Linked DNA regions of Tamandua tetradactyla. The protein of the gene in region 2 interacts with the protein of the main gene of each other region in a pairwise test. Links are inferred from orthologs where the notes say so. Each region holds a gene or a part of one and is shown on either strand. Other genes may lie near its edges.

What was found. The genes of interacting proteins can lie anywhere in the genome.
Region 1: the proteins of LMO2 (region 2) and PRKG1 interact in binary tests that used the Homo sapiens proteins (3 or more experiments, as listed by UniProt). The two-hybrid records come from large-scale screens. The link is inferred for Tamandua tetradactyla from reciprocal best matches to the Homo sapiens genes LMO2 and PRKG1.

The regions. Positions count from the first base shown.
Region 1 is NC_135339.1:45,953,431-45,961,484, forward strand, and holds the start of PRKG1 (cGMP-dependent protein kinase 1), read right to left. Parts: upstream 3,024-8,054; 5' UTR 2,630-3,023; coding exon 2,319-2,629; intron 1-2,318. UniProt on the Homo sapiens protein: Serine/threonine protein kinase that acts as a key mediator of the nitric oxide (NO)/cGMP signaling pathway. GMP binding activates PRKG1, which phosphorylates serines and threonines on many cellular proteins.
Region 2 is NC_135334.1:110,238,851-110,246,037, forward strand, and holds the start of LMO2 (rhombotin-2), read right to left. Parts: upstream 3,037-7,187; 5' UTR 3,030-3,036; coding exon 3,023-3,029; intron 2,900-3,022; coding exon 2,671-2,899; intron 1-2,670. UniProt on the Homo sapiens protein: Acts with TAL1/SCL to regulate red blood cell development. Also acts with LDB1 to maintain erythroid precursors in an immature state.

The sequences.
Region 1 (8,054 bases), on a different chromosome or scaffold from region 2:
TAAGAAAGGTGAAAAATTTAACCTGTTGCCAGTTAAACCTATATAATTGAATTTGCATTGTGAAATGAATTGAAACGCAAACAGATCTTCAGTTTGGCAAGTTTCCTTAATTCTTTGTGGCACTCTTGTGCATGACTATTCAAATGATATAAGATATAATCATTTTTCATACAATATATTTCTCTTTCCCCTAAGAAAAATATACCCTACCACTTCAGCCAAGTTTTATTCTAGTTTTCTTTACGTAAGTGTGAAAAAAGAACAGATGTTTTCCCAAAATTATTTAAGCTTGGAAGACATTCTATCATTTTCTTCAATATAATCCTTCAGAATCACCAAAATGATCATGGCAATATCTTTATAACTGACTCCTGTAAAACGTAAGTTATTAAATATCAAACGGCACAGGAATGTTCATTAGCTCAAATTTTACTATAATGGAACATTGTGAATTATTTTACACGCGAATTTCATTTTCCACAATGGGCTTTTTTAAAATCTAGTTCTACAGGTCAGGCAATAAGAAGCTTCTAAAATTTACCAAAATCTACAGTTTGTTCCCCACTTGCCTAGAAGTTCTTTAACATATTTAACTGGAGTTATCAGCTGGCTTATCAGGCTTCACTATAAAACCTATTAAAATAATCTTTTTATAAAAGCAGAGTTTGCTCTGCACTGCTCCGAAGTCCTGCAGACACTAAAATGAGATCCTATGGAATGCTTAAAGATGCAGAGAGCTGTCTTCAAGTTATTTTTTCATTATGCAAAACTTGGCCCAGGAGAGATGGCCATGCACCTCGTTAGCAAAAACAGGCAAGCATGTCAGGACTGCAAATTAATTTACCAGAGAAAGCTGAAGTGGCTTCACACCACTCAGGTTTTTTAGGCAGATGTAAGTCTGGTGAACTATTAAGGCCAATTTGTGCAGGTCCAAATCTCAGAAAGGTTTGATCCTTACTACCCTTTCTCCAGTCCCTCAAGAATACAAACTCCTCCTTACCCCGGGGCTGCACAGGGAACAGCAAATGCTCCACGGGAACCAACATGCAAAGGTACAACTCTAAGTTTTCAGAAGTGCAATTATTACATTCTCACGACCTCCAAAAAATCCAATAAATACAATTGGGGGCTAATAAAATATATATTCTTTCTTCTTATATTAACTCTCTGTGTTTATGATGTGAAGGGTTCCAAGGGACCTTGTATTATTATGTAACACGTGCCATCCAGACAGTGTGATGCAGTTAGCATAAAGTAGAAAAATCTTTCACTTTTTAATGTCATTATCTGGTAATTAAAAATAGCATTCATTCGTGCACTTTCCTTCATTTTAGGTTAACCTTATACTCCCGCTGCTTTACTCTCAATATGGATTCTGAGTTGAGTGTTGTATAACAAGTTTCATTCAATTTTCCCAGCCAAGTTATGTGAAGCTCACTGACATCAAAACTACACAGTTCTCTAAAATGCTAGAATAATACCAGGGTGATCACACTAACGGCTAGAACCAAGGCAAACTGTGCCCACATCCAAAATAAAGGTGTGTTCCTATCTATATTTGACCCTAGAAAACATGCAACCCTCGTGGGGGATGGAGGCGTTCCATTAGTAACATTATGCAAAGGAAAACAGGCAATATTGTCTCAGATGCTAGGAAAAAAATTTTAAATGAACAGACTAGGTTTCCATTTATGGATTGTAAATGTCATCCAATTCAGGAAATCAAGAAATCACCCCCTTGTATATGCGTATTTGCTTTTTAAAAAACACTTTGATGAGGGCAGAACATCAGGTTTGAAGGGTGCCAGCGTGAATCGCCACCATGTAGAGAAATCCGAGGGAGCCAGAAAAGCATAGAAAGTAATGATGGTAACAGACGCATTTCATTTCAAGTCTGATGAGCCTGCATTTAGGCTTTTCCGGATGGGCAGGTTTGCCAAGGCATTTGGGAGACGGGGCGTTTTATTCCTCCTCTCACATTCACTCGCATACAATACACACACGCACGGACACACACCTGGGGCGCGTTCAAACTCCATGTACAGTAGGTGGCATATAAGAATGTATATGTGCATATATATATTTTTTTAATAAATACTTTGATATCTGACAAAGACACGAAAGCAACGTATGTGCAGTAAGTCTGGCTCTGAGAAATGTGCATGGCCCCGCAAGAAGTGCCCATTAAAATGAAACATTTCAGAGGATGAGGACAGACACCGCAAGCGGGAGGGGCGGGGGCCGACAGACATTACGGAGACCCGCAGCTCCCCCACCGACAGGGCGCCACACCGACCCGGAGCGTAACCCCCGCTTACTGTGGGCTCTTGGGGTAGAAGGGCAGGGTCACATGGCTGAGATCCTGGATGTCGAAGGCGGTGGGCTCCGCGGAGATCGCCTGCCGCTTGGTGCGCGGCTCACCCTGCAAGGTGCTCGCGCTCTGCTTCTGCGCCTGCTGGGTGGCCGGCCGGATCACCGAGCGGTACTTGTCCAGCTCGTTCTGCAGCTTCTGGATCAGTTCGTCCTTCTGATCCAACTCCAGCTCCAGCTCGTCGATGAGAGCATCCCGCTGCCTCAGCTCCTCGATCTTCTCCTGGAGCGCGTACTGTAAATCTCGCAGGGTGCCCATGCTCCTCCGGGCAGCCGGGGACTCCTTCCTGCCGCTGCTCCGCGTCTTGGGGCTTCCTCCCCTCTTCGATCAACTTTCCCCAAAGTCGCCGCTGCCTCCCGAGTGCAAAAGCTTCCTACTTGAGACCAAAGCCAGCCCTGGCTTCTGAGCATGCCCAGTCCGCCGGCTCCAGCCACCGAGAGTTTCAGTGTGCAGACCGTACTTCTCTGGGTTTACTGGGAGGCTGAGCGTGGGGATGAGCAAAACAGCAGGTCCAACCCGGGATTAAGCCTGAAACAGAGTGGGCGCCGCGGCGCCGGGGAAAGAGCCGCGAGGCTCGGCGGCAGGGAAGAGGGAGAACGGGACTGAAACGTGGAGCTCCGAGGCAGCGGCTGGTCTACACGGGTCGCTGGCGTCCGGCGCCAAAGGAAACCGGCGGTGCGTGTGGAGAGCCAGATAAACCTCTGGGGCGCGCTGGGTGCTGTGCAGGCGGAGGGAGGCTGGAGCACTCCTTTGGGGGGTGGGGAGGTGGGGAAGAGAGAACGCGGAGGACCCCGGGCAAACGGGAGGCGTCAGCCGGTGCCAAAGCATGCCAGTGTTGAGGGCATTGGGCTAAATTCCTGTAGACACGCGAGGGCAGCGCGGACTCCGCATTCTAAGGGCTCCGACTTCTGGAGGCGTTTTGACCGCCTGCTCACCCAGAAAGGCTCCGGAGCTGTGTGGTTGATTACTAGCTTCCCCCGAGCCACCCTTCCCACTAGGAGCGCCTCACACAGGTGGCTAACGCTTGAAAAGAAACTTGTCACTTAAGAGATGAGAGCGAGTAGGTACCTGGAAGGGATTTCTTTTTAACTCAGGTGCCTTTGAGGATGGAGGGTCTGTGTTTGATTCTTGATCCACTAGCATTGCCGCTCCGCACTTACCTGCCTTTCCGCCCCGTCCAAACTCAGATTAATGAAATCATCTTAGGGCAATGGCCAAAAGGCAGTTGGGCCCCAGAAGGCCACTCTGCTTCTCCACTCTCTCCCACTTGAGCCAGTATCTATGGAATCGTTCACTGCCAGTTGCTGAAAATGTGGGGCTTAAAAATCATCGCCGAGCTCCAAAAAGTTCATCGAGAAATTGAGCTGTATCCTTCAAAACATTATTTCTTTGACAACCAAGCCATTAGGACCATATCTTTCCACTTCTGTGGCAAGGGAGAAACCTGACACAAACTCTGAAGGAAAAAATCATACAGTGAAAGGAAGGAAAGTCTAGAAGGCCTGATGTAAACTGTACAACATATACAGTCTGTCACCCCACCTCCACCCACTCCATCCCCACCCTTACCAGCTCAATATTTCCTAAAAGGATGACAATTAGGACCTTTGTCCAAATGTAACTCTCCCATCATGGAAACACATGTTTAGAATCCCCAAACATTTATCTAATATCTAACCTAAGTTCCTAATATTTACCTAAATTTTAACCAACTCATCCAATTCTATAGCATCTTTTCTGGCCCTGTAGTTACTCTCTTTGGGGCACCCGAAGTTATCCTCCTTAATGTTTTACTTGGCCATTCCTTAACACGAAAACAAAGTAGATAATAATAATAATAAATAACATTGAATTGTAATCCAGAGCCATTCACTGGAATCTGAACTTAGCCCAGGACATAAATATGAACCTCAAAAACCTTGCTCACTTTTGCTTTTGAATTTGCAACTGAACAAAAAAGAAAACAAAACAGAGAGAAAGAAAGAAAAATAGTCAATAGTATTTTCACAAAATTTTTCAGTTTAAAATATGTTTGTAATTAGAAGCGTAAATGACAAAGGATATACAATCCTAAATACTGTCCCATGCAGATTATGATCTAATTCTCTTTCAGTACAGATGCATGACACTCAATTTTTCTGCTTTTCAACACAGATATTGTGGAAAATGCATTTATTTCAGAATATAATAAATAAAGCGGATATTTCCAAAACATTTTTATTTGTAATGAACAAAACATGAAAAACTTACAATTACTGACAGCAGTAAAAACAGTTCTGAATTATTATTGTTTTAGTTAAAAGTAAACCAAGCAGAAGTACTTAGTTTGCATTAATGAGTCTATTTTAAAAGTGCTACTGTGATATTTTCCTTCTCTCAGACAAAAGGCCAAAGTTGTATCTTATTTAACCTACAGGAATTCTTTAATTCCATGGTTAAAATATTTAAAACAAAATGATTTTTTTCTATAGATATATTAAAGGGGTCCATGCAACCATGAGTTTATCTCTAAAAATATATCACAAAGGGATGTACAGAGGGTATCAATTAGACAAGTCCTAAGCAATATCTGGTTTTTAAGGTTCATGTGAGGTTTAAATAAGGGTTACCCTAAGAAGCACAGAATGGAGAAGATTATTCCTCATTTGTAGAAAGCCTGCTATAGATACAAAGAAAAATAGAGACAAAAACATTGTTCCAAAATAAAACAATAATAATAATACAACCAAAAATATTCAGGTATTTGCAAGAGAACTGAGATTTTAAAAGTAGAATGTGTGAATATTGCCATTATTTAAGCTACCATATTCACACACAATTACAGGATTTATCTACATTACACTTTCATTTTAAGTGGAATACCTTGTAATATAAAATAAATTCCACGATGAATCCAATACTGAGATTCAACAATCTGTTGTAATAACCACAAAAAAAATTAATGGCTGAGAAGATATGACTATTACAACTGGCTTATGTTTTAAAACGTATTCAAGGTATTATGGAATATATTCAGTTATGATTAGCCTACATTATGAAAAAAATAAAATTTTCTTTATAATTGAATATAGTCAGTTAGGAATAGCCTACATTATGAAAAAAATTAAATTTCCCTTAAATATTTGATAATATTAAATGCAAAATCCAGAATTCAAGGCTTGTCTTTTGATTCTTGAATTCAAAATTAATATTTTAAGTATGTTTTACATTTTATATATTCTTGACAGGTCATTTAGATCTTAAGGATCTGGGTTCCATCTCAGCATTTAAGCAATTCCAATATTTTCTTAAACACCTTTAGCATTGTAATTGGCAAATTCTGGAAATAATTGTATATAATAAATCAGGGCACTACAATTACATTCCAACAAAAACAAATTTTATCATAACATTTTTACTAGGTGTCCTATAGTAGTCTTATTTGGCTAAATTACAAGATGAAAAATCAGGTACAAGTCTACTTTCTGCTCATTAGAAAAGTAGTCCATCAATGTGGAATGGACTACTCATTGTGGACTGAGCTCTCTGCCTTGGAAGTTAGTTGTTAACAGAACAATACAAGTCTAAAGAAATGGTGTTCATACTCTGGAATTTCATAGTCAACCCACAAGCTGCATTTCAACATTATCCCCTTGGAACAGTTTTCATAGAAGCAAAGTGCTACCATAGCCCAACCAAGCTGTGGCATATTAAACTCCAATATGCTCTTCTATTTTGCACCCAGTGCTCATGATTAAGAATAAATATTAACATGCCTTCCTTGATGGAATGTCAAATAATTGAATGAGACATTCAATAAAGCAGCTTTACCATAATACTATTAAAAATAATAGTCTGTAGAATTGCACTAAAAGCCTAATTAGCCTCAAAAGAACTAGGGTAATTTTATCATCTACTTTTGCATTCCACTAATGCTACATTCCCTGGAAGAGTCCTAAATTTGAAGTTTCCTTTGTCACTTTATGGGTATATCTTAAACAGGGAGGAAAAAACCAACTAGCTGAGCTTTGGGGGTAATGAAAGCCACCCCTGGGAAGACTGATAGAGGAAGCAAGTTCCTCTTGCTCTAAGTTGCGAATCATAATCAAGCTCACAATAAAAATAAACAATTTCTTTAAAGCTTAATGTACGAGAGGCACAGTTCATGTAACCCTACAGGGTGGGTATTACTATTTCCATTTATAGTTGAGAAAACTGAGGCACAATATCACCCACCTAAAGAATGGCAGAGCCTGGATTCTAATCCAGACCATCTGGCACAGAGCTCAAGCCTCTTACTTGCCCTTGACAGTTCTGGTACTGGATTCAGGGAAAAGATGAGCATTAAGTAGCCCTACATTGGGATTGGAGGAAGAGGAGAAATTTAGAAAATTCTGAAAGAGCAGGAACACAGTATTTAAAAGATGTTTCCCCAAAGCTGTCTTCACTCCACCGTATTTCGCCCTGGTTTAGGGTGACTAAAATGGCCTGGCATTGTCCCAGTTTTTAAATTAAAAGTCCTGGGTAAACCAAGATAGTTAGTCACCCAATTTAATTCAGCCTACCTGGGTCCCTCTACTTAAAAATATGTTCAAAGTTTGCTTGCAGAGTTACAGATGAAAAAGTAAAACCAAACAAGATCTGTGATGATGATATGTATTATTTCAGGTACGTTACAAACCCACTTATGTTTGTGTGAATATAGTTTAGGGAAGCGATTGTCCTATTGCAATACATAATAGTGCACAAGGAATTATCTTCCTACTGTAAGGGCCGGTGAGTCAGACAAAAGAATTTTAATTACACTTTGATAAATTAGTCAAGGATTCTGGGCTGTCTTTTTAATTTATTGTTTATATAGAAACCTGGAACTCAGTTTGGCTCCCTATGGACTAAGCACAGCAATTCAACTGCACTGCTAATCATTTAACTCCTATTGAATTAGATTATACCTTATGGTTGTGTTTGGGGAATAGATTTGGCCATCAGGAATGCATATTTCAATGGATATAAAAGAAAATTAGAATGGCTGGGCTGTTTTGAAATCATACTGAAATCATGCAAATGATAAGGTCTGCCTGGAAAAATAAATAAATAAATAAACCATTAATGATGAAAAACTTACTGCAGAGATTTGAAAAGTAATAGTGTACTGTACTATAATTGCTAATGTGCTTATAGTTTAATACCAAATTAACGTCATGCCTAATATTTGTTGAAATAAATTCTTATATATCCACAGCTTAAAATGATGGTAAGTTATTATTGGGACTCAGCCTAAACTAGTGCTCATGAAAATCTATGTACTCTACAACAAAAAGAAAACATTTCTTTGAAAGCTGCCCATTTCCAATAACCAAAAGAAGTAAACAGTTTTTCAGAAGAAAAATATTAGATGTTCTGCATTTTTTTTCAGAAGTAGAAATTTTTAAAATGCATAAAATGGAATTTAAAATGCCATAGTCACAAAAATACTATTTTACTGCATTTAAGTCCAGTGACTTCATCTCCACGAATATACAATATAATATCTTCCCTTTCTGATTAATAAATTACAGTTTCTATGTTCCATTTTAGTGCTTCTTCTGGAAAAGTATATCCACATTATTCCCTAAGTTAATGCATCAGTATGTTCCATGAAATATTCAAAAATATTTGCAGAAGTAGTTTTGCTTTTGAAAATGGATTTTGAATATCATGTGGT
Region 2 (7,187 bases):
AGATCAATGCTTAGGAGATGCTAAAACCCAGTTCACACTCTGCAGATGGAGAGAGTAAAGGACTATATAAGGACACTTCATGAGATTATCTCCTTTTAGAACGAGGAAAGGTGAAACCCAAGCCAATTAAAAAAGAAAAAGGAAATCAAGCCCTTAAATAGTTGTAATAATTTACAGGCTTGACTTGCTTTACTATTCTTTGCCTCTACAGATCATACATAAAGACTTCCATTCTCCCTCTGGAAAAATAACTACTATGCCCAGCATTTTTATGTACATACATTTTATGTACATCTGTAATCAGAATGCAGCTCTTCTCATTCCACGGGCCTTGATCTTACTTGGGGCTTTCAAAACACTCACAGAACCTCCACCACACTGAATGCCCCGGTGCTGACACTGCCAACCAACTGTGAAAGAGGAGAATTTGCACTTAGCTGGTGCAAAACTGCCTGAAATTAAAATGAATTGCTCTTGTGACTCATAGGGAGGCGGTAAGGGGCACCGAGTGCATCCTAAAAGATATCTCCAAGCTCACAAAGTCTGGCTGCCCTTCTGTCTAAATGTTGGGTTTGCCTGAGCCTGGGCAAGTCTCCATCTGGAATATGGAGATGCTAATGGTAATGACTCCAGTTGGCTTTGGGTAAGTATGCAGTGAAGCATCTATCAGGATAGTGGTCCGCAGTAGAAATATTAAGCAAAGGAGCTATCACGATGGCCTGAAATGAAATAGTAAACACAGGATAAGATACTGGCTCCATCTGTTAGAGTTTATGATAACATCATGCTGTCCATGGAGGACGTTCCAAGCAAAAGACTGAGTAGGATTCACCTTCAAATTAATGTTTTATGTTTTCCTAGAGCCTATCCTGAATATTACACCTGAAAAATCACTTCTGCCTGGATTTCTGGGCATAATTTATCAACCTTTTCTGGGAAAGAGGGGGAAAAATGTGCTGGCACCATTTCCTCAACTAGCTTGTCCGTCTTCAGTTAGTACCTGTCTTCACTGGAAAATAGTGAAGAATGGAATAGTTAGTGCCCTTCAGTTAGGTGCTTGATGTATTTTATGAGGCTAGGATGCTTCAATTTTCTAACCTCAGTGAAAAAGGAAAATTTTGAAAAGACTAAACTTCCTTAGGGAAAGTGAAACCTCCAGATTTGTCTTCTAATAAAAGGATTAGTGACTAAGTTTTGGCTGGTCGAAAGGGCATTAGCTACCAATTCATCCAGTTCACTCTCTTTATTACTATGGTCTTGCCCAGTCTCTGGACTAAATTGTAATTCTAAGTTTGTTAAAAAAAAAAAAAAAAAGTGAACAAACCACCCTTTAAACTCATTGTTTGCACAGATACATACATTTAAGTAAAGGAATGTTATTTTTCTCTTGAGAATTAGTCCAAGGAAGCTGGGGGTTTGTTAACACAAACCCGGCTCCTTACAGAACTGGTGTCTTAACCTTTAAGATTGAATAGTGATGTTTATATTCTCGCTGGATTGTGGCACTTCCTGAGTTTTATGAGAACATGCTGAGCTTTCATGTCAGTAACTGAGGGTAAAACCCAGGTAAATAAACACCACCAAGGGCTGAAATTGGTGGGGTGGCGGGAGACTTCTAACAAGAAAGCACAATTCTTTAAAACAAGAAAAGAAAAAACCAAAACAAACGCCTCTTAAGAGCACAAATGGACAAGTCATTAACCAGCTGCTTTGGTCTGTGTAACAAATCCCTTCAAAGGATTAGATGGGGACTTCAAAGGAATAAAAATTCTCAAAACCAGACAGTTAATGAATCTTAAAAGGGCATTTACGTTGACGGGAAAATGAGATCTTAAACAACCCTTTCTCCCCATGTTATCACCAAAGAATGGGTTGGGGGTGTAAATTGGAAATAGGGGAACATTCCAAGTCAGTAGGAGGCTCAGAAAACAGACGCGGCAGATGCTCTTGGGAGTCCTGGTTCCCCGACTCTAAAGCCTTTGGAGACCATGAAAAACCCACGAGACTCCCCGCCCTAGAAAAATTCACCTATACACAAAATGGTGCGCTGCCCTTCGAGATAGAGAAACCCCATCAGCGGACCCCAAGAAACATGAACTCTGATTAACTCCGGATTTATCGGCTCTAGAAGTGTCTGGAGGCCAGAGTAGGCTCGGAAGTGGACGCTGGGACCCCGTAGGCGGCGAGGCACCCGCGCGGCCCGGGGTCGCTCCACCTGCGGGCTGGGAAGGGGGCCGTGGGGGGTGCGGGAGGCCTCCACTCGGAACGTCCCCCTTTCCAAGACCAACTGGACAAAGAGAAAGCGGGCCGGGGCGGGGGGAGGCGAAAGGAGCAGAATCCAGCCCTGCACTCTCGCCTGACCTGCACCTACGCGCCTCCGAGCTCCCCCGGTGCCCGCTCCGGTGCAAACTTTCTGGCCCGCGGAGGGCTCGCGGAACGTCCCAGGCAGCCGAGAGGGGCCCGCGGGGTGCAGGGCCAGAACCCCTTTCCCGCACTATCCCCCGCCAGCCCGAGAGCAAGGCGGAGGGCGCCAAGGGCACGCCGCGGGCGCGCACCTGAAGCCCCTCGCGGGGTGGTGGTGCTGGTGGGGGGTAGCCGTGCCACCCCACTAACCACGGGGCGCGAGGCCGTGGAGAGCGTGGGTGAAAGCGACAGGGGTGCCACACTCACTCAGACGGGTCCAGGCTCTTCCTCTCGATGGCCGAGGACATTGGGGAGGGAGGCGGCGTGCCGGACGGGGGAGGCGCTCCCTTTGTGGTGCGGGGCTGGCCGGCTGCCAGGGCTCGGACCCCCTCGGGTGCTCGGGCGCCGCCGCTGCCGCCGCTCTTGCGCCTCCGCTTGCTCGGGAGCTCCGGCGGCGAGCTCGGCCCTCCGCGCTCAAGGACAGTCACCGCGCTCCCTTCAAACGCCAAAGAGAGAGAGCGAATCACCGGGCTGCGGGCGCGCCGCGGCCGAGACCGGGGCCGGGACGCGCAGCCTGGCCCGGGGCATCTGCAGCAGCTGCTGCCGCTCAGGACTTAACCTTCCATCCCGGTCCCGCCGCCACCGCCACCGCCCGGTCCCGTTCGCGCGCCGTCGCCGGATCCGCGCCGCCGGGCCGCCCCGCGCCCCTCGCACCTTCCGCCCGGGTCGCAGCGCGCAGCTCGCCGCGGAGGGCAGGGAGGGGGCGGCGGGCGGGGAGGGGCCCGTGCGTCGCGCCCCTGGGCTCCCTCCTCGCCGGGAAAGGTCTATTTTCGCTCAGCTTCCCTCTGTCTCTGGTTTCATTTCCTTTTTCCTGATCACGATTCAAATACAATAGAAGGAAATCACATTTAAAGAGACAGCTGCCCGGCCATCCTCCCCCCCCTTCCCCCTCCCCCCCTTTTTAAACGGGGCTCCTGGGGATTAGCAATACAAACAGCGGCCGCGCAGGACGGACTTCGCTTCTTAAAGGGGCCAGCGTCAGGGACCGGGTGAGTCGCTCGGTCAACACCCCCTCTTTGGAGAGGAGGCTGGGCTGCCTCTAAATCCTTTAAGACTCCCCCTCCTCCGCGTTGCCCTTTCAGTTCAACTAAGGCTGAAAGTAACCAGCGGGCAGGTCGAGGAAGAAAGAAAAGACAAGGAGGTGAAAGAAGCACCTACAGAAACGCAAGCGTTCGGAGTGGCTTCCTCGCCCTTCCGGGCTTCGAGGTCCCCCGACGCTCCGCGCGAGGATGCCCGGGACAGCGCGGCTCGGCTGGCTGCTAGCTGGTGGCTGCGTCCGCACTCCACGAAGGCAGCTCGGGCCGAGCGGGCTGGGCACTGCCGGAGCTGTGCCAGGGGCAGCTAATCCCAGAGGAAAATCGGAGGGGAGGGATCACTCGGGTCGGGGTCTCGTCTCCATCTGCCGGCTGACGGAATTCCCTCCCTCAGCATCCTTGAGAAAGTGCACGGAGGCGGACCCCTGCGGTTCGACTGCGCACCCCACCCCCTGCCCCCATGAAATACCAGTAAATACCCTGCACAGCCCACTGCTTTCCCCATGATCAAGAGCAATAGGGAGGTCGTTTTGTCCTGGGCCAGGGAAAGGGAAAGAAGCCAGACCTGATGTCAAACCTCGAGAGCAACATCTTGGAAGAGTGAGGAATGCAGAGGAAGGAGAGAGGAAGAAGCTAATTGAGTCTGCCCTCCGGTAGAGACCAACTTCAGTTCCCTGAGCCTCAAACTTGGAAATGTCTGCCTTCAGAAATGATGATTAAAGGCCTGTTTCTGCCTGATGCCAGTTATAAGTCTTGCAAAAATGAAACCACCGAGAATTTTCAGAATCCATAGTTTTCTAGGCTCCCTCTGAATCATGGTCATAAGCATTTTATTCCCACCTTAAAAGTTGGCATTAAAGCGTCCTGAATAGGTTTCCCCCAATGGTGGAGGCTGAAATCAGAAGTGACTCCTTGGTCACTTCATTTTCCCTGGTCAGAGCCAAATCTTCACTGACTTCACAAGTATAACCAGAATTTACTGTTGTCTAGCATCGATCACTCTTGTCATTTTTCTCATCTTCAGGTCCCAAGGCTTGAGTCTCTGATGAGTATAATTAAAATCTCTGTGTATGTGTGCTAAAGGAAGTCCAAGGCCAAGACCTTCGGTACATAGGAGGACATTTTCCTGATCAGACCTTTGTTTTTAATTTAAGAAAGAAAACCCCTAAAATGTTTAGGCAGGCCTAAAGTATGTGATAAATACATAACCTATGACTCTACAACCAGAAATCAAAATGAACATGCAGGTTGCAATAAGTGGTTTACCTGGTTTAATCAGTCCATGTGGTTAAATATGAGGACTTTGGAATTGGGCTGCCTGGATTTGATTTAGGCTCTCACTTGTCAGTGTGGTCTACGAAAGTTACTTAATTTGAGAAGGCAGTATTTTGTAGTGGCCAAGAGTACAAAATCTGGAGCCAGAGTGCCAGTGTTTTACCCCTCCTCTTCTCAGCTGTGTTAACCTGGGCTAACACAGGATTTTAACCTCCCAGTAGCCTCATCTGTAAAATGGGAATAATAGAACCTATTGCTTGGGATGTTATGAAGATTAAATGAGGTAACACATGCAAGCATGGTATTTAGACTTGACAACAGGGTGAGAGTTATAATAGGACCTCCTCATAGAAGTTTGCAAAGATTAAATGAGCTATGAGCTTATATGCATGGAAAGCACCTAGCACGTAGTAAGAGCTCATAAATGGCAACTGCTATGTTATAATGAAATGCTTCATTGAGAGAATTATAAAAGAGCTTGAAATTTAATTGGAAAATGGGGCTTTAAAATAAGACTCTCCCAGCTAAATTCAAAAGTATTCTCTACATTGAAAAGGTAAACAGACCTAGGGTGCTTACACCTCACCCCTACTGCTCGTAAACAAAACACGTAAGCTTTTTCCATTTTCATGTTCATTATCCTGGTGACTAGATGATATGTTTGCATCTGCTTGCTTTGATTAAATCTGATAAGTTGCTACCTCCTTTCAAACCAGTTGTTAAAATAAATCTATCCTTGGATTCCAGGAGGTAATCTCAGAATGGCTAACTTTTTGGCATAAAATTTCCTTTTAGTAATATGCTTCTGCATTGACCTGAGTGTATAAAAAAAGAGAGATTATTGCATATGATTCTGGGTCACTTTCTTATCTTTCACAACTCTTTGGGGAGAACTTCCTTACAGAAGGTGAATGTTTGAAATGGTATCTTAAGATTTCAATTTCACACACAGTGGTTGTAAGAAATAACTGCCTACCGGTGGGATTTCATTTCTATTCAACGGACAATTAAGTCGCTCACGTTTAAGTTTAACATTTAGAATCAAGTCTCAAAAATGTGTTTTTATTCTGAATAATTTTTAAGCAAGGATGACCTTAATGCTACACATCTTCCTGTAGCAACCGACACAGGCTTTGTACAGCAGAGAAACTCAGTAACTGGGAAGCACTGTGGACATGTGAAATGGTTCTTGAGTGCTGGGGAAATCTGAACTTGATCCCTCCCCGGTTGGATTGAAATTTAATTCCTTCTCCTACTCCCCAACTGCTTGCAAATCTTAAATACCCTAAAATTGAGAAATTTCTACGTTTTCTTACAGAATATGAATGTCAGAAGACTGAAGCTGTCTGCATGATGAATTTGCCTCCCGCCAGCATTTTCTGTTCTTTTGATTATAACAGTTACAATTATTTTCTAGAGAAGAGCATTTTCAAGTGATGAAGGCTACATCCCTTGTAGCCTTCCCTTTATAATCCCTTTGCTAAAATGAACTTCTAATAGAAATGAAAATGTAAATATCATTGGGAAACTGCCAAGAATGACAATTTACCTCTTTTTCTCCCCCAACAATTAGAAGCCAAGTTGTAACATATGCCAGTTTGTTGTGACATTCACATTTAGGAACAAAAATAAAGATCTATCTCAATATGACTTTAGCTCCCTTTCAAAATTCTTCTAAATTATTCAGTTGTCACAGGTATCTAGCTCTCAATCATTTCAGAAGGGTTCAGGGACAGTTGATAGGACGTGATTTCACAGAATTTTAGACCTATTAGTAACCTTAGTGATAAATTAGCCAAGTTTCCTGTACATTACAGAAGAGCCCTAAATAAATCTTAAAAAAAAAATTCTTACCAGCTGAATCTTAGGAGAATGAGCATAGGAGTCAGACAGGTATAGCTCGGTTATTTACTAGCTGTGTGATTTTGAGAAGTTATTTCACCTCTCTGAACTTCAGTTTCTCTGTCAAATGGAGGTAGTAATAATGTCCAGCAGGTCCGGTACTAGGGTGAGGTCACAGGGGTACCTGCTCACCTCTCCAGAATTTTGAGATGATTCAATACAATAAAGTGTGTTAAAATGCTTTGCACAGTAAATGCTCAGAAATGATTGCTCATGTTATTACCCTGTCTTTCAGAAGTAATCAGCCCGGTATCGAAAAGCAGCAATTTCCTAGCCAATTGAGATATCCTCCAAAGAATGCTGAGATGGAGGTGCTACAGAAAAATCAGAAGCCTTCTTAAAGCATCAGCAGCTCTCTGGCTGGGGAGCCCACCTCTCCCAGCCAGAAATAAAGGGCTGTGCCCATTTAGGCCCTGGGCAGGCTTCTGGCTAATCTGCTGCTACTTTAACCTGCTCCCCTTGCCACACCGCCTGCTTTTGCCACATCCCTGATTTTATCCGTCTTATTTTCTA